7 linked regions of the Cricetulus griseus genome follow. The protein of the gene in region 6 interacts with the protein of the main gene of each other region in a pairwise test. Links are inferred from orthologs where the notes say so. Each region holds a gene or a part of one and is shown on either strand. Other genes may lie near its edges.

The links.
Region 1: the proteins of Fhl3 (region 6) and Kirrel2 interact in binary tests that used the Homo sapiens proteins (3 or more experiments, as listed by UniProt). The two-hybrid records come from large-scale screens. The link is inferred for Cricetulus griseus from reciprocal best matches to the Homo sapiens genes FHL3 and KIRREL2.
Region 2: the proteins of Fhl3 (region 6) and Patl1 interact in binary tests that used the Homo sapiens proteins (3 or more experiments, as listed by UniProt). The two-hybrid records come from large-scale screens. The link is inferred for Cricetulus griseus from reciprocal best matches to the Homo sapiens genes FHL3 and PATL1.
Region 3: the proteins of Fhl3 (region 6) and Ctbp2 interact in binary tests that used the Homo sapiens proteins (3 or more experiments, as listed by UniProt). The link is inferred for Cricetulus griseus from reciprocal best matches to the Homo sapiens genes FHL3 and CTBP2.
Region 4: the proteins of Fhl3 (region 6) and Rhebl1 interact in binary tests that used the Homo sapiens proteins (3 or more experiments, as listed by UniProt). The two-hybrid records come from large-scale screens. The link is inferred for Cricetulus griseus from reciprocal best matches to the Homo sapiens genes FHL3 and RHEBL1.
Region 5: the proteins of Fhl3 (region 6) and Pak5 interact in a two-hybrid assay, tested with the Homo sapiens proteins (2 studies listed by BioGRID and IntAct). The two-hybrid records come from large-scale screens. The link is inferred for Cricetulus griseus from reciprocal best matches to the Homo sapiens genes FHL3 and PAK5.
Region 7: the proteins of Fhl3 (region 6) and Hipk1 interact in binary tests that used the Homo sapiens proteins (3 or more experiments, as listed by UniProt). The two-hybrid records come from large-scale screens. The link is inferred for Cricetulus griseus from reciprocal best matches to the Homo sapiens genes FHL3 and HIPK1.

Annotation. Positions count from the first base shown.
Region 1 is NC_048602.1:5,379,680-5,382,425, reverse strand, and holds the end of Kirrel2 (kin of IRRE-like protein 2), read right to left. Parts: intron 2,404-2,746; coding exon 2,338-2,403; intron 851-2,337; coding exon 812-850; intron 543-811; coding exon 501-542; downstream 1-500. UniProt on the Homo sapiens protein: May regulate basal insulin secretion.
Region 2 is NC_048596.1:48,669,268-48,672,767, reverse strand, and holds part of Patl1 (protein PAT1 homolog 1), read left to right. Parts: coding exon 1-39; intron 40-2,269; coding exon 2,270-2,425; intron 2,426-3,500. UniProt on the Homo sapiens protein: RNA-binding protein involved in deadenylation-dependent decapping of mRNAs, leading to the degradation of mRNAs. Acts as a scaffold protein that connects deadenylation and decapping machinery.
Region 3 is NC_048596.1:67,842,629-67,846,128, forward strand, and holds part of Ctbp2 (C-terminal-binding protein 2), read left to right. Parts: intron 1-1,836; coding exon 1,837-2,043; intron 2,044-3,500. UniProt on the Homo sapiens protein: Corepressor targeting diverse transcription regulators. Functions in brown adipose tissue (BAT) differentiation. Isoform 2 probably acts as a scaffold for specialized synapses.
Region 4 is NC_048595.1:395,350,090-395,354,263, forward strand, and holds the start of Rhebl1 (GTPase RhebL1), read right to left. Parts: upstream 2,801-4,174; 5' UTR 2,586-2,800; coding exon 2,534-2,585; intron 2,025-2,533; coding exon 1,887-2,024; intron 1,302-1,886; coding exon 1,234-1,301; intron 972-1,233; coding exon 889-971; intron 801-888; coding exon 744-800; intron 493-743; coding exon 445-492; coding exon of another isoform or gene 411-444; intron 1-410.
Region 5 is NC_048599.1:42,473,759-42,477,723, reverse strand, and holds the start of Pak5 (serine/threonine-protein kinase PAK 5), read right to left. Parts: upstream 2,801-3,965; coding exon 2,597-2,800; intron 1-2,596.
Region 6 is NC_048595.1:28,358,427-28,362,431, forward strand, and holds the start of Fhl3 (four and a half LIM domains protein 3), read right to left. Parts: upstream 2,801-4,005; 5' UTR 2,689-2,800; coding exon 2,644-2,688; intron 2,247-2,643; coding exon 2,070-2,246; intron 1,963-2,069; coding exon 1,788-1,962; intron 788-1,787; coding exon 618-787; intron 533-617; coding exon 322-532; intron 238-321; coding exon 89-237; 3' UTR 1-88. UniProt on the Homo sapiens protein: Recruited by SOX15 to FOXK1 promoters where it acts as a transcriptional coactivator of FOXK1.
Region 7 is NW_023276806.1:53,160,682-53,164,702, reverse strand, and holds the start of Hipk1 (homeodomain-interacting protein kinase 1), read right to left. Parts: upstream 2,801-4,021; 5' UTR 2,666-2,800; intron 1-2,665.

The sequences.
Region 1 (2,746 bases), on a different chromosome or scaffold from region 6:
GTCTTTAAGGAAGGAATCAAGACAGCCGTCATTTTGAGTTCTCATAGAATGAACAGCCATATTGGCTATACTTTTATTGACCAAAGTTCCCCTCCTGGGAAAGTCAGGACTGGGTGGGGGGAATTATTTCTCTTACCTTAATTTGTCTTATGCTATCATTGTTCTTGGTGCAGATGGTTATTTTCAAATACCTTTTCTACTGGCTACAGATGCCTTCCATCCGTGTCCCCAACTCCCTACACTTCCTGCCTTTGTCCCCCTGCGAAGAGTTTAGTCACCATTTTGAATGTCTCTCTCCCAGGAGATTAAACAGGCACATGGTCACATTGCTCGTACTTGGAGCATCCCCTTTGGCTGAGCCTATTAGGCATCAATGATCCTGACGGCTGTTTCCCTCCTTTGGCGTCCAGTTTTGGAGGAGTAGGTCATCAACTTGCTCTGATTTCCTGAGAATGCTGGACAGCACACAATGGCAAGTTGGCGATCTCAAGACTCTTCAGTTAGAGAGATGTCTTCACACATGAGTCTGGAGACGCTGGTGGCTGGGTGGAGACAAGGTAGCGTAGGGGAAGGGGGGAGTCCCAGAGCTCAAATCCGGGGGTCCAAAGGATGTAGGCTTCATGTAGCTGGCGAAAGCTCGGGGATGGGGGGTGGTGAGGTAACCGGCCCGTGCTCTGTACAGTCTGCAGGGGGGTACTAAGTCCAGGTGTGGCTTGAAGTCATAGTAAGTAGGAGTCCCTGGAAGTCCAATCGGAGAGGGGGGTGGCAAGAAGAGGCCTCCTCCCGGGGCTTCCCCGAGGCTAAGGCTCACACTGACTCCTCGGACCTTGTAGTAACCATTGGTTGGATCCTGGGGACAAAGTGAGACTTGGTATGGAATGTGAGGGTGTAGGAAGGTAAGGATCATGGATGCAGAGACACACGGAGCTACAGCCAGACCTAGAGAGAGGTGTGGTGGCAGAAACCAGAGACAGCAGGAGCAGCAAATCCTAGACAGGAATCGCTGGGCAGAGACAGGGGAAGCGCTGGCTTCCTAGAACAAGCAAGGTCTGGCTGAAGTTAAGGAGGGGCAGGGAGGGAGACTGGGAAGGGAGGGAGGGGGGAGAGAGGGCAGGAGGGCTGGCTGGCTTCAGGTCAAGAGAAAAGTACGATCAAATACAGACAAGAGGGATGTAGTTCAGTCGGTAGGGTGCTTGTCTTGGTTTGATTCACAGCGCTACAGAAACTCAGTGTGGTGGCATATGGTTTTAATCCCAGTACTCGGGAGCATAATCAGGAGTTCTAGATCATTCTTTTTTGTTTGTTTGGGTTTTTTTTGTTGTTTGTTTTTCAAGACAGGTTTCTCTGTATTGTTTTGGAGCCTGTCCTGGCACTCGTTCTGGAGACCAGGCTGGCCTGGAACTCACAGAGATCCACCTGCCTCTGCCTCCCGAGTGCTGGGATTAAAGGTGTGCGCCACCGTCGACCCAGCTTCTAGATCATTCTGGTTACACAGTCAGTTCAAGGCTAGCCTGAGATACATGAGGCTCTGTCTCAAAGAAAAGTCAGAGAGGGGGCTTTAGAATGGGAGCCAGGGTCGGAATCAATGCGTGTATCCTAAGATAGGATTTCAAAGCAGAACTGTCTTTGGGAAACATGAGATGTTAGGGTGGGACCAAGTGGGAGGAAGGCTACCAGCTGGTAGAGAGCAGTCAAAGAGGCACCTAGAAGCACGAAACGGGGCTGATGGGGAAAGAACAAAGAACGGGGCTAGAGACCAAAACAACAGTGGATAACTTGCAGGGCGTTGGTGGCGCACGCCTTTAATCCCAGCACTCAGGAGGCAAAGGCAGGCGGATCTCTGTGAGTTTGAGACCAGCCTGGTCTACAAGAGCTAGTAGTGGATAACTTGAACTCTGGAGCCTGTGAGCTGTGATCTGTGAGCTGGCCCAGGAGGAGTTAAAGGTAGTTTTTGTTTTGTTTTGTTTTTCTTTGCAAGACAGGATTTCTCTGTGTAATGGCTTTCCTGGCACTCGCTCTGTAGACCAGGCTGGCCTCAAACTCATAGAGATCCTCCTGCCTCTGTCTCTGCTGGGACTAAAGGCGTGCGCCACCACCTGGCAAAGGTAGGTCTTAAGGCAACAGAATCAAAAGCAGATGGAAGCAGGGAAGCAGCCAGGTATGGTGCTGAGGTCTGAAGTCCTAATTTGTAATTCCCAGCGCTGCAGGGGTGGCAGGAGAAAGACCAAATCTGGCTGTACAAGTGTGGAACCCTGACTCCATCAAGCTTAAAAAAAGAGCAAGTGGGGAGAGGTGGAGACTCGGTGATGGATAGCGATCTCCTCCCCCCATACTCACCGCTGTCTCCAGAGCCTCCTTTTCATCCAGAATCAGGTCACTGTGGTCAGTGTGCACAACGGGACCCTGAGGTAGGAAAAATAACGAGAGGCCATGCTCAGAAGTCCATCCTGTCCCACCAGATCCCACAGGCCTTCCTCCGGAGGCCAGGCTGGAGGAGAGACCTGGAGGCTGGACTCAAGACAATAAAGAGGCTAGCCGGACACACTGAGCCAAAAGGATAACTGGGGGATAAAACATATTTGCCATCGTGAGGATGCTATGCGGCTAAGGTCATGTTTAAGACTGGAACCAAGCTGGGTATAATGGCACATGCTTTAATCTCAGCACTCAGGAGGCAGTGGCTGGAGGATCTCTGATTTGGAGTTTATGTAGCCCTGGGAATCAAACCGAGGGTCTTGAGCATGCT
Region 2 (3,500 bases), on a different chromosome or scaffold from region 6:
AACCTCCCTTTCCTTATCAAGAAGGACGCACAAGATGAGGTACACACCATGTAGGGCAACTCTTACTATGCTTCTCAAGTTGGAAAACTTTGGCTTTTGGTTACTTTTGTGGATGTAAACTATCCCTCCCTGCTCCATTGTCAGTAGCTTCATGTTAGCCTAGAGGTTTGGTTGAATGGTGTCCCACAGGTAAATGTTAAAAGATCTCTGCTTATCCTTGCAATAGCTTTTCAAAGATTAGCAAATTTTCTTGTACTTTTTCAAGTTGAAGACAGGAAATTGCTAAAGAAATAGTATTAGTGAGTATGGGATTCAGAATAGTGAGATGCTTGTAAGGAAACATTGCAGTTGACTACAAATTGAGTAGTAACTGCTATGAACCGAAGTTTCTGTCCCTCTTGGTCCTGCATTCCATTAGTCCCAAATGAACACACAGAGGTTTATATTAATTATAAACTGTTAGGCTGATGGCTCGGGCTTCTTATTGGCTAGCACTCTTGATTATTAACCCGTTTCTATTAATCTATGTATCTCCAGGTAGTCTTGGCTTACCATAGAATGCCCAGGCATCCTATCTTCCCGGTAGCTCCATGGCAACTCCCTTGTAACTCACTCCCTGCGTTCCTCTTCCCAGAATTCTCCTAGTCTGTTAGCCCCCACCTAGTTACATCCTGCTGTCCATTGACCAAACCCGCTTTAATCACCAACCAATGAGAGAAACATATTCACAGCATAGAGAAGGACATCCCCCATCAGTTTCTGTGCAGAAGACATGCCTGTATACCTTAAAACACAAAAGAGCTGAAAATTACTATTGTAGCCTTTGAGATGTTGATTTTTATAGAAAGGAATGAAAAATTTAGGTCTCATTAGAAAAATGCAACAGAATGAAACAAATGACATTTTTTATTTTATTTTTTAAATTTTACTTATGAATCGTTTGCATGTGTGTCTGTGCACTATGTGCATGATTGATATCCATGGAGTTCAGAATAGGGCATTGGATCCCCTACAGCTGTAGTTAGGGTTTGTGAGCCACCATGTGGGTGCTGGGAATTCAATCTGGGTCCTCTATAAAAGCAACAGGTGTTCTTAACAGCTGAGCTATCTCTCTAGCCCCAAAACCAGTACTTTGTTTTTTTTAAGACAGGGTTTCTCTGTGGCTTTGGAGACAGTCCTGGAACTCGCTCTTGTAGACCAGGAGGCTGGTCTCAAACTCACAGGAATCCGCCTGCCTTTGCCTCCTGAGTGCTGGGATTAAAGTTGTGCACCGCCACCACCACCCAGCTAACCAGTACATTTTTAAGAGACTCCAAGAATGAAAAATGGGATGGAGGAAAATTTTAAAGATTTGAAATTTATCCTAGAGAATAAAAGGCCAGAGTAAAAGGGCATGCCCATTTTAAAGCATAAATGCCAAAGAGAATGAAGCAGTGGACACTCTTGTCAATCATGGTCTCATAGAAACTCACGATGCAAGCAGGTTTGGAAGAATCTTAACACTTGGCAGATACTTACTGAATACATCTGCATATCAGGCACTGTTTTATATCACAGAAATAAAGCTAGGAATACAAAAGTATCTTCATGGGGCTTACTTGCTAGTAAAGAACACTTAGTTAACTATGTAGAAAAGTTGCATGTGGTAACTCACACCTGATTTCCCCACACTAGGGAGGCTAAGGCGGGAGGGTTGCCATACTTGAGGCCAGCCTAAAAATGTGTGTTTGTAGAGTTGTAGTTCATTCTCTCTCCTCCCCCTCTTTGTCTCTGTTTGTGTGTATGTATACATATGTAAGTATACATGCATGTGCTTAGTTGTTAATATATGTAAATTAAAAAGTAATCTACCATGTCTCTAGAATCGATTTTTCTTGCAATAATAACTGGATCCAGGTGTAAGAAGTACATATAATCCTCATCTTAAACCAGAGGCAAGGGAACTAATAGGTTATTAGGGATGCATAAACCAATTTGAGGGGACTCCTGTTTTCCAAAAGTGGTATACTTAACATCAGAAAGGAAAATTACAGCAGTAGACTGAATTAGATTTCCTTTAATGAGTTCATAATGATACCAAAAGTATATCAATCATTTGTAGTAAGTGCTGGGTCAGTAACTCATCCTGCCTTTTCATTACAACCAAATGTGCTGGCACACAGTAATATCATGATTTTGTATGTGGTGAGCATCCTGCTAGCCACAGCCACCAGTGGGATGTAAGTGAAGGAACAGTTGGTAGAGTGTAACGTTCTTGTTTGTTTTGTAGGTGCTGCCATGCTTACTGAGTCCCTTCTCTCTTCTCCTCTATCATCTTCCTTCAGTGACTGTCACCAGCCTTCTGCAACAGCTAATGAACCTACCTCAAAGTGCAACTGCACCAGCACCCTCCAATCCTCACCTCACTGCTGTGCTCCAGAACAAGGTTGTCTTGTCCGTTAGTGTCCTTAACTTATGTGGCATCTATATTGACTTAGGAAAATTAGGACTACTGTAGCTTTATGGAATTTGGGGCATCAAGCATCCAGTCTTTTTTACAATTATTCCGGTCCTCTTTAACTGTAGATTCCCATACTCATGAGGTCCCTGCTTCAGGTTAGTTCTGAAAATTAAAACTGTCTTGACATGAAGAACAAAGCTGGGTATGGATTATTAAAGTGTAGATTAACTACCTGTCTTCTTTGTTAGGGCTTTTCCCAAGAAATTCTAGCAAGCTTCTGATGAGTAGCAGTGACCAGGGTTTAGTCACATGGCATACCTAGCTGCAGGAAGGATGCATACAGCTTTCAGTTATGTCATATTAAAGATCCAAAGATTAAGGCAAAACTTGGTGCACTTGTGTGTAACCCCACCACTCAGGCCAGCCGGGCCTATGTGAGTTCAAAGCCAGCCTAGTTTACATATTGAATTCCAGGGCATAACCCCTACCTCCAAAAAAAAAGGGGGGGGGAGCTTTTTTTTCTTTTTTAGTTTAAAGCCCCTTAGAGGAAACCTAATAAGGAAGGAGGATCGTGAGTTTCTAAACAGGCCATGTCAGCTTGCCTGCCCTTTTCCAGCATTATGATCCTGAGTATTTGCTCAGCCGGTTTCCTGATCTGTGTTATGCAAGTGTGGGTGCAGGCTTTGCCCAGTGTTCTGGTATTTAGATGATACCTGGTAGATAGTAGGCGCTTGTTTAGGGCCATGACAAGCAATAGAGGTGAAGGCTCAGGACCTCTTCCTCCTTTTATCTGCCAACAGTAACAGGCCATCAGAGATAGAAAAGCATGCCTGTATCCCTCAGGATATAGGGAGGCTCTCAAGTGACCAGTCATGGTCTTCCTGTTACTTAGTCACTCTTAATTTGGAAAGAGCAGTAAAAAACCAGGAAGTCATACGAGATCCTGAGCTGATGAAAATTTGCTTGCAAATAGCATGAAGGGAAATTTTGTGGGGGGATTATCCTCTATAATATAAACCCAGGAAAGTAGAATGAAATCCCAAAATATACATCTATTTAT
Region 3 (3,500 bases), on a different chromosome or scaffold from region 6:
GTTCCTGGAAGGGAACACTCCACAGTGGACCTAGCAGGTAGTGATAACTGGGTCTTGTGTGAAGCCCTCTGTATCTATAGGTGCAGCCCTTCAATCTGTTTAATGCAGGGCAGCACTTACCCACAACACCCTAGTTCTCCAGAGATCATGCATAACACAGGTAATGGAACATCCTTGGTCTCTCCTCAGAAGGTTATTCAGCTATTTGGAGCCACTTACAGTGACTCCTTCATTTCCTCATTTAAAACCATGGTCTTTTTCTCGGGACGTCAGAGAACCATATGGGAATTGGCACTTGGAGGTTACCCTGGGGAGAACATATCCACTGAACTCTTTGGCATGTCTACAAGACCCACTTCAATGATCAACGGACAGCTGTCTGCCGTTTCTGGCAAGATGGTTCCTCTTCTTGTCCAATTATTAATTATTCCCAGGCTTGGGTTCCGCCTCTCCACGAGGGTGCTAGAGCCAAGAAGCTACATATCCACATTGTGGTTTTGAGTTGAGCAAACATCCTGCCTTGGTCTCCCTCTTTATATAGAACTCTCACCTTGCCTTTATCATATGGGGGCCTGCCTGCACTGATTGTCATTGGTCAGCTAAGCTATGACATCCCTGAACCACAGCTGGGCACACAGCCGAATCTGATTACCACCCACTGGGCTTTTTCTCAGAGGACTGAAATGCGTCATAACAATATAATAATAGCCCGAGATCCCATGCTGAGTCATTCCAAATGAATGGGGCCCCTGTGTTTTGCAGGATTACTGCTCTTCAACTCATAGGAAAGATAGCTTCCATCATCAAGGTTCCTTAGCAAATTTATCTGTAGCCCAGAGAAGTCCACTGCAGCCAGGCAGAGAGGATGGCCTGCTCATGGTGCCCTCCTTCGCTTTGAGCTGTCTGTTTTATTGGGAGGAGTCACATCACTGGACCCCAGGGCAGTCATGGTAGCAAGAAGAGACAAGAAGAGACATAATACCACAGACCTAAGGTGTTTAAGGGACTATTGATCACCTTCCGTCTAGGTGATCTTCGTATCCCCCAGTCTTGAAAAGCCAACAGAACCCAAGGCTACCTTGAAAGGTAGCTGCACCTTGCTGCCCAGATGGCAACTATCAATCAAGATGGAGCCTTTTGGCCTGAAGAGTGGCAGGGAAAGCTACTACCTTTCCTCAACACCCCCTGCTGAAGGGAAGTTGGTGCCCACACCCCTCCTTCCTGGGGGCTTAGTCCATTCTCTGACAGGTCCACCTCAGGCCTCAGGCCTCCTGCTCTCTGCCAGAATCAGATAAACCATGAGCTTTAGAAACGTGGATAACTCTAAAGTCAAGATCCTCCTGCCTCAGCCTTCAGCGTTTAAGGTTAGAGGTGTGTGTCAGCATGCTTGCCTGGAGCTGTGTGTCAACAGTAATTAGTGACTAGGGTATTGGGGTTTACATTAGGGTGCATAAGGTGGAAACAATCTCTTGCCCATATAGCTCCACAATGAGCCTGGAAAAGAGTCTGGATTTCTGGTCCCTCCACCCTTCCAGGCCTGTCCCGGATAGATCTGGGACTGAAGCACCCACCATCTTTCTGCCTGCTCTGGGGCTCCTTTGGGCCTCAGACCAGGACTGGAAAGAAGGGGAGTTGGGCTGGCTGTGAGCTAAGACTTGAACCTATAAACCATGTTGGATATGTGTGTAGTTAGTGGTGAGTACTTCTGAGACGAAGAGGGCCTACCAAATACTTGACCCAACCCCGGACAGGAAGTAGTAGTTCTCCATTTCTAAGCAGGGTACCTCAGAATCCTGGGACTTTGCTCACCTCTGGGCCTGGCCATTTCCCTTTCAGGGATTGCTGTTTGCAACATCCCATCTGCTGCAGTGGAGGAGACAGCCGATTCCACTGTCTGCCACATCCTCAATCTGTATCGGCGGAACACATGGCTGTACCAGGCCCTACGAGAAGGCACACGGGTTCAGAGCGTGGAACAGATCCGTGAGGTTGCATCGGGAGCTGCCCGGATCCGAGGGGAAACACTGGGCCTCATCGGTTTTGGTATGTGCCTCTTGAGACAGACTTGGTTCAAGGGAGTGGGGGTGGGTAGGTCAAGGGTCAAGAATAATAAGAGAACTTGACCGGTAGTGAGATCTGGGCCTGTTATACAAGAATCTGTCTATGTTGCTGGCCAGTGGTACAGCAGGAGTGCACCCTCTGCTGTCACTGGAAAGGACTGTGCTTGGTAAATCTCCCTGAGGCAGAGGGTAAAAGTTTGGCTGTACAAGGTGTGTTACTACTGGTGAGTGTGTGTAACTAGTGGTGAGCAGCAACCTGGGTCATAGGTCCTGAAGGCTCTTAAATATAGATGCCCCCCTCCCCCCAGCAGTAACATGAAATCACTTAAAGATTCAAGCCTGAGGGTAATGCCAAGCTGTGGGCTTGAAAATCTCTTGTGAGACTAGGACAAGACATAGTCTTTCTGGACTTGGTTGTTGCCATGGAGATATTTGAGCAGAGACCTGGGAGTCTCCAGCAAGTGTGGTAGGGGACCGAGGAAAGTTTAAGCGGTGAAGTGAGATAGACACATGCTACTGCTGTTATCCACACAGACTCCAATAGGACTCCTAGCTGGTTGCGATCACTAACTCACTCCATAACCTTAAGGAATTGTTTGGCTTCTTTGCCTCCATTTCTCGTTCTGTAACTAGAGCATTAGGTGGAAGCAGGGGGATACATGGCTGCTGCCTCTTGACTCTAAGGCAGCATAAGGAACACATGGAAAAGGTTGATTCTGGCTTCCAGAAATTTTTCTGATTCGTATCACCTTTAGCTCAGAGCTGGCTGAGGGTCAGGGCTTCTAAGACAGTTTTAGAAGAGGGAGGATTTACTGGATGACTCCAAGAGTGCTCCTCTTTCTATAGAGCTTCACTCTTCCCCTCCCCCCCCCAACCCCCGACCCCAAGCCTAGGCCTCTGGGGCAGTCAGAGTCTGAGTTCAAGATGCTGGGGAAGGCTCTGTGGTGTTTCACAGGTCTTCAGATATGCAGGTACCATGTGTGAGTACTATAGCACTCTCTGCTAGTACCCTCCTGTGCTTCCTGTGGCCATCCTATGAAGCCCTTCTGTGGCCTGGGATGGTCTCTATCAGGCTGTAGAACCTGTGGGCGGCTCTGAGCCAGCCGGTGAGAAGCCCCTCTCATTCTGGAGTCCCTGTACCCATCACATGTGCTTTTGTAATTGAGTGTTATTTGGCTGAGTGCTGACTTTCAGCTTTCCCAAGCCCTCCCCCTGGCTTCCCTACATTCATGGCTGCTGCAGTCTCCCTGGCTTCCTGTATAGCTCTAATGGTCTATGGCCCCCAGGAACTGTAGTGAAGAGACAGGAGAAAGGATGTTTGCGGCTGCCCAGAGCTGCGGCCAGCCTGCTGAAGAGCAACAAGGGAGGAGGCTCAAAGAAACCTGAAGCTGGGGCTGGACAAAGGTCCCTCACACTGCCTGCCATACTGATAAAAACTGT
Region 4 (4,174 bases), about 370 Mb from region 6:
AAACAATGCCTGCAAGCTGTCTGAAAATTCTTTTTTTTTTTTTTTTTTGTCTGAAAATTCTTTAAGATTTAATTTCCTCTTGATGCTTCACACCCCTCCCCCAAGGTTTGATGAGGGTGAGGTGAGAAAAAAATACATGTAAACAAAAGCATGATGGGTAAATGTAAGACTGAAGCTTGAAATAGGAATTATGGCTTTATGTTAGAGTTATTCTTAAGTAACCATCAAGGTAATGATGAAAAGAGGGAAAATGGCTAGACATAGTGACCCACCCCTACAATCTCCGCTGGCACTGCTAGAAAGGCAAGAGGACAGGGACTTAAAAGGACAGCCTGGACTACATGGTGAAGATCCTGTCTCAAACAGAGGCAGGCAGGACTACAGCTTGACTGATCCCTAGTACAACTTACTTTCCTTTGCCATGAGCAACAGGGGTTTACACACCTGTCTGGAGAGAGATCTGCCTTGTTCCCCACAAGCACCACAGGTAGCCTGTGATGAAACAGCAGTTACTATTGTATGATTATAAGAACCCTTTTCCTGGAATGTAAAAAATAAATTAATAATAAAAAAAAAGAGTCCTTTCCCCAATCTCTATGGACCCCAACTAGTCTAACTACAGCAAGGCTAGATGATTCCCCAAACAAGCCAGGCATGATCCATGGCCAGCCTCCTGGAAGAATCCCCATGATTGCTTTCCTCCACACCTTCATTCCCACATTCTATTTCCTGGGGCCACTTACCGAGTTTTACCATGGCCTTCATGTAGCTTTTGGTACAGGCTCTTAATGATTTGGAAGCTTCAAAACATAAGAGATAGAGCTTTAATCTCAGTTCTAGGATTATTGTTGAGTCCTCCAAGCCCCACTCAAAATCTTAGTCACACACCTATGCAGAGAGGTGACAGAATATACAAGCACGTAACCATGGACCCCAATGATGAACGAATAGGGCAGAATGCTGTACTCATCCTGACAAGAAACAGAAACATGAGTATTAAGAGCCACACCATTCAAATGGCACAAGCTGTTGGGATAACATACAGGTGACCCTCTCAGAGACATTCCTTGCTCCCATTCAACAAGTATTTATAAAGTAGCTCCAATGAGCCTTGTACACTGTTAATAGCTAAAATACTTTTCTTTTCATACTACATCACACATGAAACACACAGACCACAAGACTTTATACAGGGGGAACTGCAACATTTGGACACCCTACCCCAATTGGTACCTGCCCTGCTGTGTCCACTAGATGTAGATGAAACTCATCTTTGCCAAGAGTCACTGTCTTGCTGTAAGCTGGAAAAACAAAGAGGAAAACTTCTTGACTGTGAGGTGCTTTGTAGGACCAGTGATGTGTATTCCTTTACATTCCTGACCCTGGGAGTAACAGAGACAGACTAGTTCCAGGGAACTTTCCAGGATCTGGAGAGTTATGCTAGGGTTCTTGCTGTCCTCATCTTTAGTATAGTAAAGATTCTATACTATCCTGGACTAAAATCTTACAAATTCTACTCTCTAGACCATCAGTTCTCAACCTGTGGCTCACAACCTTTTGGAGGGTCAAATATCATATATCCTGCATATCATATATCCTGCATTACAACTCATAACAGTAGCAAAATTACAGTTATGAAGTAGCCATGAAATAATTTTATGGTGGGGGAACATGAGGAACTGCAGTTAAATGCTAAAGGGTCACAGCATTAGGAAGGCTGAGAACCACTGCCCTAGACACTCACAGAACAGGATTCCCAGAACTGATATGATTAACACATAAATAAATCAGCCCCTTGGTAACAAAGAAATATCAAATTATGTAATTGGAGAGGGTACCCAGTCTATCTAGGTTCCATCTCCTTCACACTAAAGAACATTACTCACTATTCTCCACTGTAGGATCGTAGCCTTCCAGGAACTCGCCTTCCACAAATTGATGGGCCAAAGATGTCTTCCCTTTAAGGACCAGAGATTGTTGTAATATAATCATCCACCTACATTCACACCGTTTGTCCTTTCGGACTGTGGCCAGGACCAAAACGCATCCCAAATCAGCTTCCCATTCAGTGAAAGACCCCCAGCTCCAAGCAATGCTTCCCCTTGGACTACTACTACGAACATCCTTACGCGTTGACTCCGCAGCAGTTTGGCTCCTGGGATGCATTCAGCACTGCCATAGGAAGCCTTTCCCTGCCCCACCCCACCCCACCTCACCCTTTGGAAGATCCAGGACTCCCTAGGATCTAGTGCACCAGCCCAAGGACACTTGCAAGTGTCTGCCTCGCGCAGACCTCCACCACGCCTTCAAATGCTGATCCCACCCCTGTTCCCAGAGTAACTCAGGGACCACTGATGCAACCACAGCCCGGTCCACTTTAACCCTTGAGTGCTCCTTTTCCAGCATCCCTCCACACGACTTCTTCCCCGTCCACATTGGCTCCTCTAGTCACATTCCCGCGACAGCGCGCCTCTTCTGGACACAAAGCAACGGTGCTGCCACCGCTGGTGCTCTCGGGAGGGCGGAGACTCACCTACCGAGCGGTACCCCAGGATGGCCACCTTCCTGTAGCGCACCAGAGGCATGACAGGACGCCGCTCCGAGGGGCTCCTAGGAGCGCGGACCAAGAGAGCCCGAACACTAGCTGGAGTGCAGGCGGCAGGGGACCCCGGGAAGGACCGCGGCTCACCAAAGATAAGCCGGGTGAAGGGAAAGGAAATCAAAACAAGCCGCGCGCCCGGGGCAGCCCACGTGATCACAACACTGCGGCTCTACGCAAGGGAGCCGGGCGCCAGGGGCGGGGGAGGGGCGGAATACGCGGCTGGGCGGCTCCCGGCCCCGCCCCCAGGCTGCTCCCCATTGGTCAATTAGAATGAGGGCGGGCGGAGTCGCCCACAAGGAGGGACCAGTGGGCTCACGTGGAGCGGGAATTTTGGGAGCTGCACATGCGTAGACCTGAGCCGGTTCATTCATAAAGAAAAAGGTGCTCGGGGTCCTAGAGGTACTTTTCCATGTGCAGCCTAGCCAAAAAAGCTGTGAATCTTAGATGGAAAAACAGCTGTTGTGAAAATACAAAACGAAAAGGAAAATACCTGCTGTGGTTGGCTGGTATTGGTTTTTGGTTTTGTGTTTTTAAGACAAGGTCTCACCTTGTAACCCTGACTGGACTACAACTCTCTATGTAGACCATGCTGGCTCAAAACTCAAAGAGGTCCACTTGCCTCTACTTACCTAATACTGAATTAAAGCATGCAACACTACAAAGTAGCTTTGGGCCGGAGGTTTTGTTGAAAAGATGCTAGGCCTCTGAAGTCAGCAGTGATGGCAGTTTTTAATCCCAGCACTCAGGAGGCAGAGGCAGGCGCATCTCTTGAGGCTATCCTGGTCTACAGAGTGAGTTCCAGAACAGCCAGAGGTAAACAAAGAAACCTTGTCTGGGGCGGTGAAAAAAAAAAAGGGGGAAGGATTCTAGGCCTTTGTTTTTCTTTTCTTCAAGATAGGGTTTCTCTGTGTAACAGCCCTGGCTGTCCTGGAACTTGCTTTGTAGACCAGGCTGGCTTCAAACTCACAGAGATCCACTGGCCTCTAGCTCCAGAGTGCTGGGATTAAAGGTTTGGGGCCACAACCATACGGCTCAACAAATATTTTTTGATCTGTGAACTTGAGAGTTGAGGCAGGAGAATGCTGTCAGTTCAAGACCAGCCTGGGCTAAACAATGATCAAGCCACCCAAGACCTTGTCAAAAAACAAAAAACCCAGGCTTCCTGGCCTAGGCCTATAATTGCAGGATTTAAGAGGTGAAGACAGGAAGGTCAGGAGTTCAAACTCATTATGGCCTCAGCTACATAGTGAGTTTGAGCCCAAGAGACCTTGTCTTAAAAAAAAGAAAAAGAAAGTCTATTGAGCATGTTCAGACACTGACCCAGGTTTGCTGAAAGAGATAAGCATGACATACAAGGTCTCTGTTTCCCTGGCATTTAAATTTATTCATAGAATTTGGAGTTGTGACAATGGCATGCATGAGGCCTGCCTTTTGCTCAAACCCCAGAACACACACACACACACACACACACACACACACACACACACACACACACACACACAGGGAGGACTGGAGAGATAACTCAGCATTGGCTGTTCTTCTATAGGACACAGGTTCAATTCCCAGCACCCA
Region 5 (3,965 bases), on a different chromosome or scaffold from region 6:
GGTTTCTCTGTGTAGCCCTGGTTGTCCTGGAACTCATTTTGTAGGCCAGGTTGGCCCCAGACTTAGAGATTTGCCTGCTTCTGTCCCCTGAGTGCTGGAATTAAAGGCATGGGCCACCACCACACAAATAAGAAGCTTATAAAGCAAAAGAGTAGAGAGTTCATGATATTTTAGGCATCAACTATGACACTACAATATATGTTACTTTCTGAAAAATCCTACTGTAACCTCAGGTAGACTTCTCAAAGAACCTAAGTTTCCCAAGAGTTCCAGACTGTACTATGAAAACCAAGCACTCATATCTTCATGATAATTTTATCTGTTATAGCACATACTTTGTAGAATTCTTCTATAGAAAAATGAGCAAGTTATAGAAAGTTACAATTTAAACGAAACTCAAGTCTTCTGTATGAATGAGAATTTTTCTCAATCTTAAATAAATAGGAAGTTCGAAGATAGTTATATAGTATGACATCACAATAAAATTTAAATATATCAAAATATTTAGAATTATTGCTATAATAATAATTAACATTAAAAAGAAACAGGAAGAAAACGTTAAGATGTGCATATAACACAGCTAATTTTGAAACAACTTGGGTAATGTTGCTTATGATGCTCTTATGGACAAAACAGTTAAGTATGAAAAACATTCTTGGTGGGGGAAGAAGAGGAGCTGTTAGAAATTGAACCCATTGAATTTATGCTAAGTGCAGGTCATATCACTGACCTTCATTTCCTGACCTTGCCAAATGTTTGAAAGGTATACTCCCCTTTGACTATTCAGATGATTTCAGTCAGTTTATGTGCTTGGGGTTTGGGGTCAAGAAAGTCAACTCAACATAAATCTAAGATTCTGATATCTTGAACTTTTTTTTTAACCAGTGTAAAGTCATTCTGATTATATCATCTATGTAAATAAGTTTTTATAACTACTTTTATAAAGATTTTCAAAATCTCTTTAGGCCAGCCGCCTTTGCACCAGCAGGATATTATTTAGAAATGAACACCAAGAAGCTCTAACCCAGTTTTACTGAATCAGATACAGGGGTAGAGCTCCATATCTGTGTTATGGTGGTTTGAATAAAAATGGCTCCCATAAGCCCATAGAGAGCAGTACTATTAGGAGGTACAGCCTTACTGGAGTAGGTGCAGTCTTGTTGGAGGATGTGTGTCATTGGGGGCAGGCTTTGAGGTATCAGAATCTCAAGCCAGGTCTAAGGGCTCCCTGTCTTCCTACTGCCCCTGGATCCAGATGTAGAACTCTCAGCTACCTCTCCAGTACCATTACAGCCAATTTAGTCCAATGACAATGGACTAAATCTCTCAAGTGTAAGCCAGCCCCAACTAAATGTTTTCCTTTATAAGAATTTGTGTGGCTCTGGTGTCTCTTCACTGCAATAGAAATCCCAACTAGAACATTTGTTTTAGCAAGACACTTCAGGTGATTCTCAATATACCTTGAGAAGCCCTGGCATAAATGAGTCTGCAAAGGACAGATGTACTCTTACAAGTTGTAGGCAAAATAGATAAGCTAGAGTTTCTGAACAGGGGCAATGGGAGTCATGACCCATCAAGGAATACTGGCTCATGTGGTAGATTTCTACTCAGGTAAATCCTCCTGAAGCCTGCTGTCCAAAAATAAGGGACGACACACTTCTTTCATTGGATCACTATTCGAATTCAACCAGTTGAAGAGATAACAGACTCCTTTATCATTTATCAACTATATCTTTTGTTCACATCCTGTAGAATCACTTTATATATAATTTAGCACAATTTAGGCACTATTAATGTTCACACAGAGTAAGTATCCTCATAGCAAAGATACGTTCTAGTATAATGAATGACAGAGGAACATGAGTTTCATACTTTGTTGAGATTGGAAGACTCTGGAGTGATCTGATGTATATTATTCTGCTAAATATCTATACTGTTTTACTCCCATGGAGAGCTTGTGGGCAACTGCCTGATAGACTACAGAATTCTTACCCTCCAGTAAAGAAGAAGCTGCAACCTCTGAATTGTCTTTTTGGTAACTGAACATAGCTGAAACTTAATGAGTCATGAACATTCCTTATCAAAAATCTACCAGCTGTTTGTTCAGGTTAATTATTCAATGACTGAAATTATTTGCTAATATGAAATATCTCTTTCTTAGACTATGGAGATAAATGTGAAGATACACACATTTACTGTATAAATCATACATATAGACACATACATTTGAGTGTATGCTTATAAATATGATTTATTGCTACTGAAATCTGTTATCGTTGTATTTTATAATAGTAAGTATAAATATTTTGAGAGCAAATAGAAGACAATGAAATATGTCCAGTAAAATATTTGATTAGATCTATTGCTGATATTATCAGAGGAGCTGGGTATTATTGACAGAAATAAAAATTCATTTTGTAGCTTAATTTTACATCTAAATTTTACAATAATCAGTATTCAAAGACAACATTTCCCTTTCATGTGCTGCAAAATGAAGGCTAACTGTGGCTAAAGTTACCCAGTTTATAAAGATAGTACACTAAATCAAGTCAGAGCCTGGTGCTGAAGTCAACCTGAAGACAGAATCCTTGCATACCTTCATGGGAGCCAGTTGTATCGGTGTGATGCATGACGGATCCACCATGGGCTTGGGCCTGTTGGCTGTGTCTGCTAACAGGCTGTGCCATTGCTGGGGAAGGCCAGTAAATTTCTGCTCCTGTGGATCAAACCCAGTATGAACCCTGTGCTCAAAGTTGGATGGGCCAGAAATTTCAATCTTTTTCTTTTTCTTCCCAAACATGATGTAAAAAACCTATGAAATACAAAGAGAAAACAGGCAGCTTATTATATCTCACCACCAGGAGATAAATTTATTTTAGATAATTTATCTACATCATTTCAGTTATCTCTCACAATACTAATTTCAAAAGATAAAAGTTATATTTTCAGGCTGTATATATGAGATAATTTCATTCTGAATCTTTGTTCTTATCTTGAATGATCACTGTGGATTACAGTTGCTTGTCCCATTGGTGCTGAATTTGGCCCATGTGAACTGCATGGATCAATGGTCTGGAAAATAAGCCAGTCTAGGGTGGGGGTGTTTGGATGCTCTTAGTACTCCACCCCAATAAACTTGTCATTAAGAATCCTCAGGTAGATTATACTTGCCAATCCTCAGTTTTAGAAGAGAGATTTGAAGAAGACATAGTGCAACCTGGAGTCAAGACCAGGCAACTCTGTGGAGCCATTGTTGAGCCACAGCTGACAGTTACACTGATGTAACACGTGAAGAGCTATGTTTCCAACTTGTGTATCATATCAACATTACTGAAGCAAAAGCTGAACAATTCTCAAGGAGAAGCACCTCAAAGTTTGGTATGAAGTCAAAATCCAGAACACATATGTGACAAAATAGCATATATATCAACAAGAAAAATGAGCTAATAATTATTCTGCATAAAAACCAATTATTATAGATAGAAAATAAATATTTATCAAACAGATAGAATATCACCTGCTCAAGTAGGTCCTGTAAGTGTTAACTGTATTAAATGGTGATTCTGTACTTCATGATCTGGTAGCCTGTGATGTAACCTAGCTTTGAACACTGTGTCATCATGAATTACATGTGATTGCCATACTTTAGGTGTGTGTGCTTTTGACCAGGGGTTACTCACCTGTGAGTAGGTTAAACAAGGTGTCACCTTGAGAATCCTTCCACATATTGCCATGGGGTTTATAAAAAGATATATATATATATATATATATATATATATATATATATCAGTGTGTGTACATATGTACATATGTGTATATGCATACATATATATTTGGCTTAAACACTTATTTTTCTTTCTTAGGGAAGCTTACTTCAGTGTATAACCATTCTGGTAGGATTGAAGATATTCTAAAGAGAGACATTTGTGCCCCAGAAACTCCCTACTGGGAGAATGAAAAGGCTG
Region 6 (4,005 bases):
GAGGGGCTGGGTTCCAAAAGTGGTTCAGAAAAAGAGCCAAAGTCTTGAACCCTTGGTTTGGGAAAGGGGAAGAGTCAGGAGCCTTGGCTCAGGGCCCTGCTTGGCTGCAGCCCTGGCACAGAACTTGGTCTCCGTCTGGTACGAAGCCTTGGCCCACCAGGGAGGTGGAGCAGCGGGCACAGGAGAAGCAGCTGTGGTGCCAATGCCGGTCTTCGAAGGACACATACTTGCCTCCTCCTGGAGGAGAGGTGGAGGTTAGTTTTGCAGACTGGTGGCGCTGCTGCCCCTCAGCCTCACCCAGGATCACAGCCATACTCTTACCTGCAGCCTCGCCACTGCTCCCACCTGTGATGGGGCGCTTGCAGCTGCTGCACTTGGGTGCAAAGAGTTCTCCAAAACAGGCCACACAGTAGGGATCATCATCCCGAGATGTGAACTGCTGTCCTGCAAGGGGGGTCTTGCACCCAGTGCAGACCAGGCATTCTCGATGCCAGGGTTGGTCTCGATATGTCACTCCACCCTGGGTCAGCGTCTGTGGGGGCATCACCCATCAGCAGGGGAGTGAGTATTCCCACCCACAACAGGTCTTACCCTGAATTCACAGGCCCAGCCCCCACCTTGCTGCAGCGGGCACACCGAGGAGCAAACTTGTTCTCATAGCAAGGCACGCAGTAGTGAGCGCCCTTGTCAGGCACGAAGGAACGGGAGCCTAGAGGCTGTTCACACCCACTGCATAAGAAGCAATGTTCATGCCATGTCTGGCCTCCATACTCCAGCTTCCGGGACCCTGTGGGAAACAGGAATCCCACTTAGAGTCTTTGTCCCAAGTTCCCGAGGGTCACAGTCAATTCTACTCCCCAACCTATCCCTACTGCTTCTATAACCTAGTAGAGTTGTAAGACTCCCACCATCTATGTTACATATGCCAGCCTCTTTCCCCAAACTGGACATGAGGGTTCAGCACATGCTAAGCACATAGGTTAAACCTTCCATGCCCCCTCATAGGATCTTTCTTTTTTTTTTTTTTTTCTTTTGGTTTTTTTGAGACAGGGTTTCTTTGTAGCTTTGGAGCCTGTCCTGGAACTTGCTCTGCAGACCAGGCTGCTCTGGAACTCGGAGATCCGCCTGCCTCTGCCTCTGCCTCCCAAGTGCTGAGATTAAAGCTGTGTGCCACTACTACCTGTCCAGAAATACCAGTTTAACACTCAGGCAAGATCCCACTAGCCAGGCAACTCTGCTTACACAAAGCCTAATGCCCTAGGAATGACAGGTTTAGTACATGCTAAGCCTTTGCAAGTTCTAGGTATATCATTTTCTACACATGTAAGTCCTCACATACCTATGAGGTGTGCAGGACACCATACATTTTAAGCCTACAATTTGATCTCTGCACACAAAATTTCAATGCAGCAACCCTGAGAATCTCAGTATATCCTTAGCTCTTATATGAACCAAGCATGCAGGTCTTCACACATGCTAAGGCCTGTGTGTGCATCAAGTATGTCAGTGCTACGCACATAAGCCTATTGGTCTAATACACACTAAGCCTCCAGCTTGTCAGTTTTGGTATTCACCAAGCTTTTGAGTGTACAGCTGGGTGCATCAATCTGTGTGTGCATTAAGCTCTAAAGAGCATACATGCACAACAGATCCGTACATGTTCCAGGAACCTGTAGTATGCCTAGGTCTCTACCTACACCAAACCTCATGCACGTATGAGATGGGCAGACGCAAAGACCCTTCTCAGATGACAGGTCCCAAACCCAGGATGAGGCCCTGGGACATACCAGGCATGACAGTCTCCCCACAGGCAGAGCACTGTGAAGAGAAGGCTGTGCAGTAGCAGTCATTACAGAGAAGCTCACTGTCCTGGCAGGTGAAGGGCTCATCAGCGAGGGAGCGCTGGCAGCGGCAGCACCGGAAGCAGCCCTCATGGAAGTGGCGATCCTCATAGAACAGTTCCTTTGGGAGACAGAGCGGGGGCACTAGCATCTGGGCTTGGTGGATTTATCCTTGCCCCCCTCCCACCAGTCTGCACTTTACTCTCACCCATCTGGTCTGGTTCTTACCCTTGAATCATGCCCGATGAGCTGCTGGCACTCGGCACAGGTGTTGGCGAAGGTGTTGTCATAGCAGGGAACACAGTAGGGGCCACTGTCTGTCTGGATGTATTTGCGGCCGTACAAGGACTCACTGCATTTTGCACAGTCAAATGCCTCGCTCATGGTGGTGATGCTGAGTAAGCCCTGTTAGGAACACAAGATGGGGCAGAGTTCACCTAGAAGGGCTCTAGCATAGACAGGACAAGAGCTCTTTGCATTCAAAAAAAAAAAAAGAGAGGAGGCAAAGAAGAGATGAAAGCAGGTCGGGGTGGAGGGGGAGACTGTTGTGGGAACCCAAGAGTCTTAGGTTCAGTGCATGCTTGAGGATAGGAAGGGGTCAGGAAAAAATCAGGAAGCAGAAGTTGTTTTCTTATCTAGGCCCTGGCTGATCTGGGGGGAGGGGGCTTTTCCTGGGTCAGTGACTCATTTCCTGCAGCGCAGTGCAGCCTGAGGTTTGCTTCCACTCTCTGTACTGTCCCTAGGGTGCTAAAGGCCAGGACAGGGGGCCACCAACCTTACTGTATATAGACCGAACTCTCACCTCCTCATTCCCGGGATGGCCATAGGAGTTTAGATATGGGGACATTCATCTAGAGTTCTGATCTGGGGAGCTTCGGGTGGGATGGGCTGTTGTCCCACCCCCACCCCCACAACTCCCCACCGATGCAGGAAACAGCGGAATGCTAGAGAGATGCTTGACTGATGAGGGCGGTGTGAGAAGTTGGGCCTCCCCTCCCTGGAGAATCAGCCAAGCAAGCACTTAGGAGGCTCAGCCTAGGTTCAGGCAGGAAGGAAACCCTGCAAGCTGGACACAGCCAAATTTCCCCAGCTGGACCCTGGGCCTCATCCCCTACCACCTCTGCTGTGTCTCTGGTCACACCAGCCTGGGCAGTCTTGGCTGCAACATCTGCTGCAGCTGAGGCACTGCAGAGGGCCAGATGTCAGCTTTTTGCCAGCCAGAGGGAGAAAAAAAGGGGAAAACCGACATCCCTGGGGAGGCAGAAGGGAAGTGGAGACACAGAAAGAGGGCAGCACTCTGTGCCCCCCCCCCCATTCCAGGTGTCTCTGCTGGTAGCTCTGCAAAGACCCAGGGTCATGATATGTCCTTGGCTTGCATCTGGACAGACAGCCTCTGCCTATTTTTTTCTGATTCCCCAGGGTTTAAGGCCAGAGAAGGAAAAGGTGAGAAAACAGGAGGCCCTGGAGCCCTAGTAAGGCTCCTTCCTGACGGGGAGTAACAGAAGGGGAGCCCAGAGAGCTGTTGCTGCAGACACCCAGCCCCCCACCAAACCTCAGACACTTTCCATTTTCTCAGGAACAAAGCATGTTTGTGGGATGAGGTCACCCACACAGCTGCCTCTGGAACAGGAGCAAGAAGAATGGGGGGGCAGGGAAATGGGGTTCCCAGTCTCTTCTGCTGGCCAATGCCAGTCTCCGGGCCCAAAGTCAGAACTCCCCAGCTCCACCCTCCTCCACTATGAAGCACATGCTCAAAGGGCTGGGTAGTGAAGAAGATTCCCCTAGGACCCACAGGAAAGAGGTGGTGTCATTGTTGCAAAGGAGACTGGGGGAAGTTAAAGGGGTGCACCAAGGAACCCCCTTATCCTAACCCCCTTCTCCATGGCTGTACTGGCTTAAGATGAAGGAAAAGGCTTTCTCAGCAAGCACAGTGGGAAATTCTCACACAACACCTTGGTCTGCCTTAGAGTTCAGACTTCAGGCAGCGACAGATGTCTCAAACCTGGAGGGCCTGCCTCTTTGCGGGCTTATGAGTTTGAACTTTCCCTTCCACAAAGTAGGAGACACCGGGTTCACACCCAAAGCAGGACACAGGCCACCAAAGCTGAAGCCTTCAGAGTGGAGCGTCCTCAGGGTACCGGTTATGCTGAAGGGTGGAGAGAGC
Region 7 (4,021 bases), on a different chromosome or scaffold from region 6:
GCTAACAGACTTTAAAAGGAGTCTTTCTAAAATCCTCTAATTCTAATCTGGAAAAACAGAAACTCAAAAAGGCCAAATAAGTTTTACACAGAGTTAATGAGCAAAATGCTGGCAAAGAATTCAGGTCTCCTGGTTTCTTTTCATTAAGCAACAAGGAAAACATGGTACCAGGTGCCTTTAAAGAATCCAAAGAAATACAATGTTTTATTCAATACCCTTAGAAGGCTGCGGAAGAGATCGGCAACCAAAAAGGAAAAAGTTATCTATAAAAGGCACTAGAGGGCCAACAAAATGGCTCAATGGTTAGAGGCATTTGCTGCTAAGTCTGAAAACATGTGTTCTAACCCCTGGACCCACATGACAGAAAACCAATTCCTGTAATTTGTCTTCTCCCGCACACACACACTCTGAATAAATGTAACAAAATACGTCCTACAGAAATACATTATGCATACACTAGCTGAATTTCTACAATCAAAAAGAAAGACACAATCAAAGTCAAAAGTAGACCCACACCAGGCACCATGAAGTTTCAGTAACACTGTCGCAGGACCATCCCTTCAGCTCAGGAGTACGAGGTCAGCCTGGTCAACCAAAGAGCATTAGTAACAAACAAAAAGAAGAAAATTAAGTGTTCACTCAGAAAAATGATCTTAATAACTTATGTGCAAAACAGCAAGAACTGTAGTGAAGGAGAAACTGAAGAGGAACTAGTAGGGGGGAAGGCCCACCAAAAACATATTGTTGTCACACAGTCAAGAAAAGGGCAGGTGACAGATCAGGCTGATGAAATTATTCAAATTACAAAAGAACCAATTAAAATACATAACTAACAAGCTGCACAAGTTTCAAGTATAAGAAGTTCACAGGCAGGTTTGGCTCACTGATTTCCACCAACAAACCACTGGTGGATCTATGCTTATAAAAACAAAAACAAAGAAGGAAAGAATTCTGTTTTCCAGACAAATGTGAACTTTGACATATTTTTTTTTCAGGAGGAAGATCTGGTTTGATTTTAAATCTCATTACCAATAAGCTTGCTCTAAAGTCTGTAAAATACAACGTCCAGAGATCAACTGTCCATGAGGCTATCACAAACTACTAGCCAAGCAGAACCAACACACATACAAGATAGTAGTCACCATTTTTGTTAAATGCTTTACCAGTTTGGAAGCCTCCAGCTTCAATCTCAAATACTTTACCAACAAGACAAGGCAAGTATCTTAAAGCCTTCATCATAAGGCAACACTGAGCCCTAAGAAAATTGCATGCAAATACCCAAAATAACCAGCTGAATAACAATAATTAGGTAAAATGAGTTGTTAGGTTTTTTAATTGTTTTACAGAAAATCTTAGGCTTTTAAATAAAAAAAAAAAAGGTGGCAATAATTTGCATTCTCTGTAATCTTAACCAAAAGCAACAACAACAACAAAAATCTTACAGACCATAAATCAAAAATAAAAATAGCTTTACACAAATAAGAACAAAATTGTAGGTTTTGCTGAGGGTATCAGGCTCTTAATTTAACCCCACTTCATCTAGTGCAGGAAGCCATGCTGCTGTTTTCATTAGTTACTAAGAAACAAGATAAAGGGCGGTCTGGGGAGGTGAAGTCTACGCTTGAAACCAGTATGTGGCTGCACTACACTGAGACTTCTCAAAGTATCACTAATAGACAAGAATGAATATCTTAAAATGAGTATCCACAATTGAGTCAGTGGTTACATAAAGATTAACTTACTGGAGCTTGGGGTTATCCTCCCCACCCCCCTTTCAGTCCCAGTCCCATCCCCAAAACAGGAAAGAAAGCGCGCCCAGCATAAACACAGGCCATTGCTCATGGTTCATCGTCACCACAACAAACTGGAGGTTAGACCAACGCTCCTGGAGACCAAGTTTCAGGTCTCGGTTCCCAAGAAAAAAGGGGGACTCCACCCCACAGTGCTGTTTATAGTCTGGGCCCTACCGGAGAATTTTTCGTTGTTTCCATCTTTTCCTTTAACGTTTGGGCTTTTTTTTTTTTTAATTGTTGCTGTTTTGGGCTTTGAAAGTCACGACGGGCTGCAAAAGTTTCTTTTGAAAAAGACCTCTAGCTTTGCCTTGAAAACATAAATATATAAGTGGGCTGGTCCCCCACAGGGCCTCACCACCATCACAAATTCCAAACTCAACGATTACAGAGCGTGAGCGGAGAGAACAGAAAAGCTTCCACACAACCCGACCATCACGATTTTCCCTAGACACGGCTTCCCGGTCCCCAAAGGCACAAATATGCCCGAGCTACAGCGACAGGCAGTGGGGTGACATGCACACGCACAAGCTTCACATAGGGAGCCTGCCACCGCAGCCAGGGGCAGGGGCGGGGAACCCGAGTGTGGGGAGATTGCCAGACGGGCCCCTGTCACCTGAGGACAACAGCGGCAAGCTCGGGAGGAAAGTGGCAGGATGGCAGGGGGAGTTGCCCATTTTTCCGGGCACCCAGTCGCGTCCCGCCGGCTCGCGACCAGGCGGCGGGACGCAGCGCCCAGGGCCGCGCGGGGCCTGCCCCAAGAGGCTCCCGCTGCAAGCCGGCCGCCCAGGGGAGTCCGCGGCCCGCTCGGCCCCACCTCGGGGCGCCCACCCCAGGACGCCCGGGCCCCCATCCCCTCGCCCGGCCTGACTCACCGCCGGTGTGTGTAGTTCTCAGCCGCGAGTCGGGGCCGCCGCGAGGAGGAGGCGGCGGAGGAGACGCGATCCGGGGCCCCGCCGCCGGGTCATCATACCCCCCGCACGAGCCGGCCCGGGCCCCGGCCCCCGCCCCCGGAGCCGTCCCCGCGCCCGTCCCGCGGCCGGAGCCTCGCCAGCCTCCCGCCTGCCCCGCCGCCCGGCCCCTTCCGCCGCCCGCCGCCGCCTCAGCGCCGCGCGCTCCCGCCTCGGCCTCCCGCTGCCGTCCGGGGCCACGGCCCGGCCCTTCGCTTCGCAGCTGCCGTTGTCGCCAGACCCGACAAGTGGAGCCCCGAGCGACCGCCCTCATCCGGCCGGCCCCGCCCCGCCGGAACCATTCAGCCACCTAGCGCCATGACACCTACTGGGGCGGAAGTGAGGAGGGGCTGGAGAGCTGGAGTCATTGCTTCGGGCGGCGGGCCGCAGCAGCGGATGGGCCTCCGTGGGGAGCCAGCGTGGATCCTGTCAGGGGGACCGGATTCCCCGCCCCCTCCGCTCAGCAGTCTCCGAGGTGTTTTACCGGCGTCTGGTGGCTGTCGCGTTTCCCGCTGCTGGATGTCATCTCCGCCAGTGTGACATCACCCCAAACCAGTGTGAAATCCTCCCCCCCCCACCCCCCTACACAACCGCATCCCAACGACTGGGCAGCGCGGGGAGACAACTGACTATCTGAGAAGCCCCCGAGGATGAAGAATTATCTCCGTTTAGGCTTCAATTGTTCGCTCCCCACGCAGAGTACTTTGTAGCAGCAAAAGGGATTTCGACGCCTCGCTATACCGAAGCGCTCCCATTGCAGTATGTTAGGAAGCCTAAGAAAATAACTACTCCGAACTCAGCTCCTCAGTGCATGCAGTAGACACAGATTGTCTTACCTCCACAGAAGGTAGAAAGGCTTCGGACTCTGGAAACAGCGCGCTGGACACACAATGTTCTAAGAAAATGGACACTGACAACTAGGTTATCTTAGTAGACAGTCGCCAACTCAGCCTCAAGAGATTCTGTAGGACTTCAGATATGACTTCTGGTGTGTAAACTCTTGGCTCCTAACATGGGAAACATTTTTTTAGAGACTAGTATTTACGAGAGTAGATTGTGGTGGCACACGCCTTTAATACTCAGGAGGTGGAAGCCGATGGATATCTGTGATTTCGAGGCCAGGTTGGTCTACAGAGTGAGGCACTGACTTTAAAAAAGAGATGAAGAAAGAAAAAGGAGTTCATGTGTTCTGTCTCACAGGTACTAAAGTCAGCAACTGTCTGGATCCGAGAAGTGACTGTGGACCACCGTACATGAACTCTCTAAGGAGGGAGCAGACCT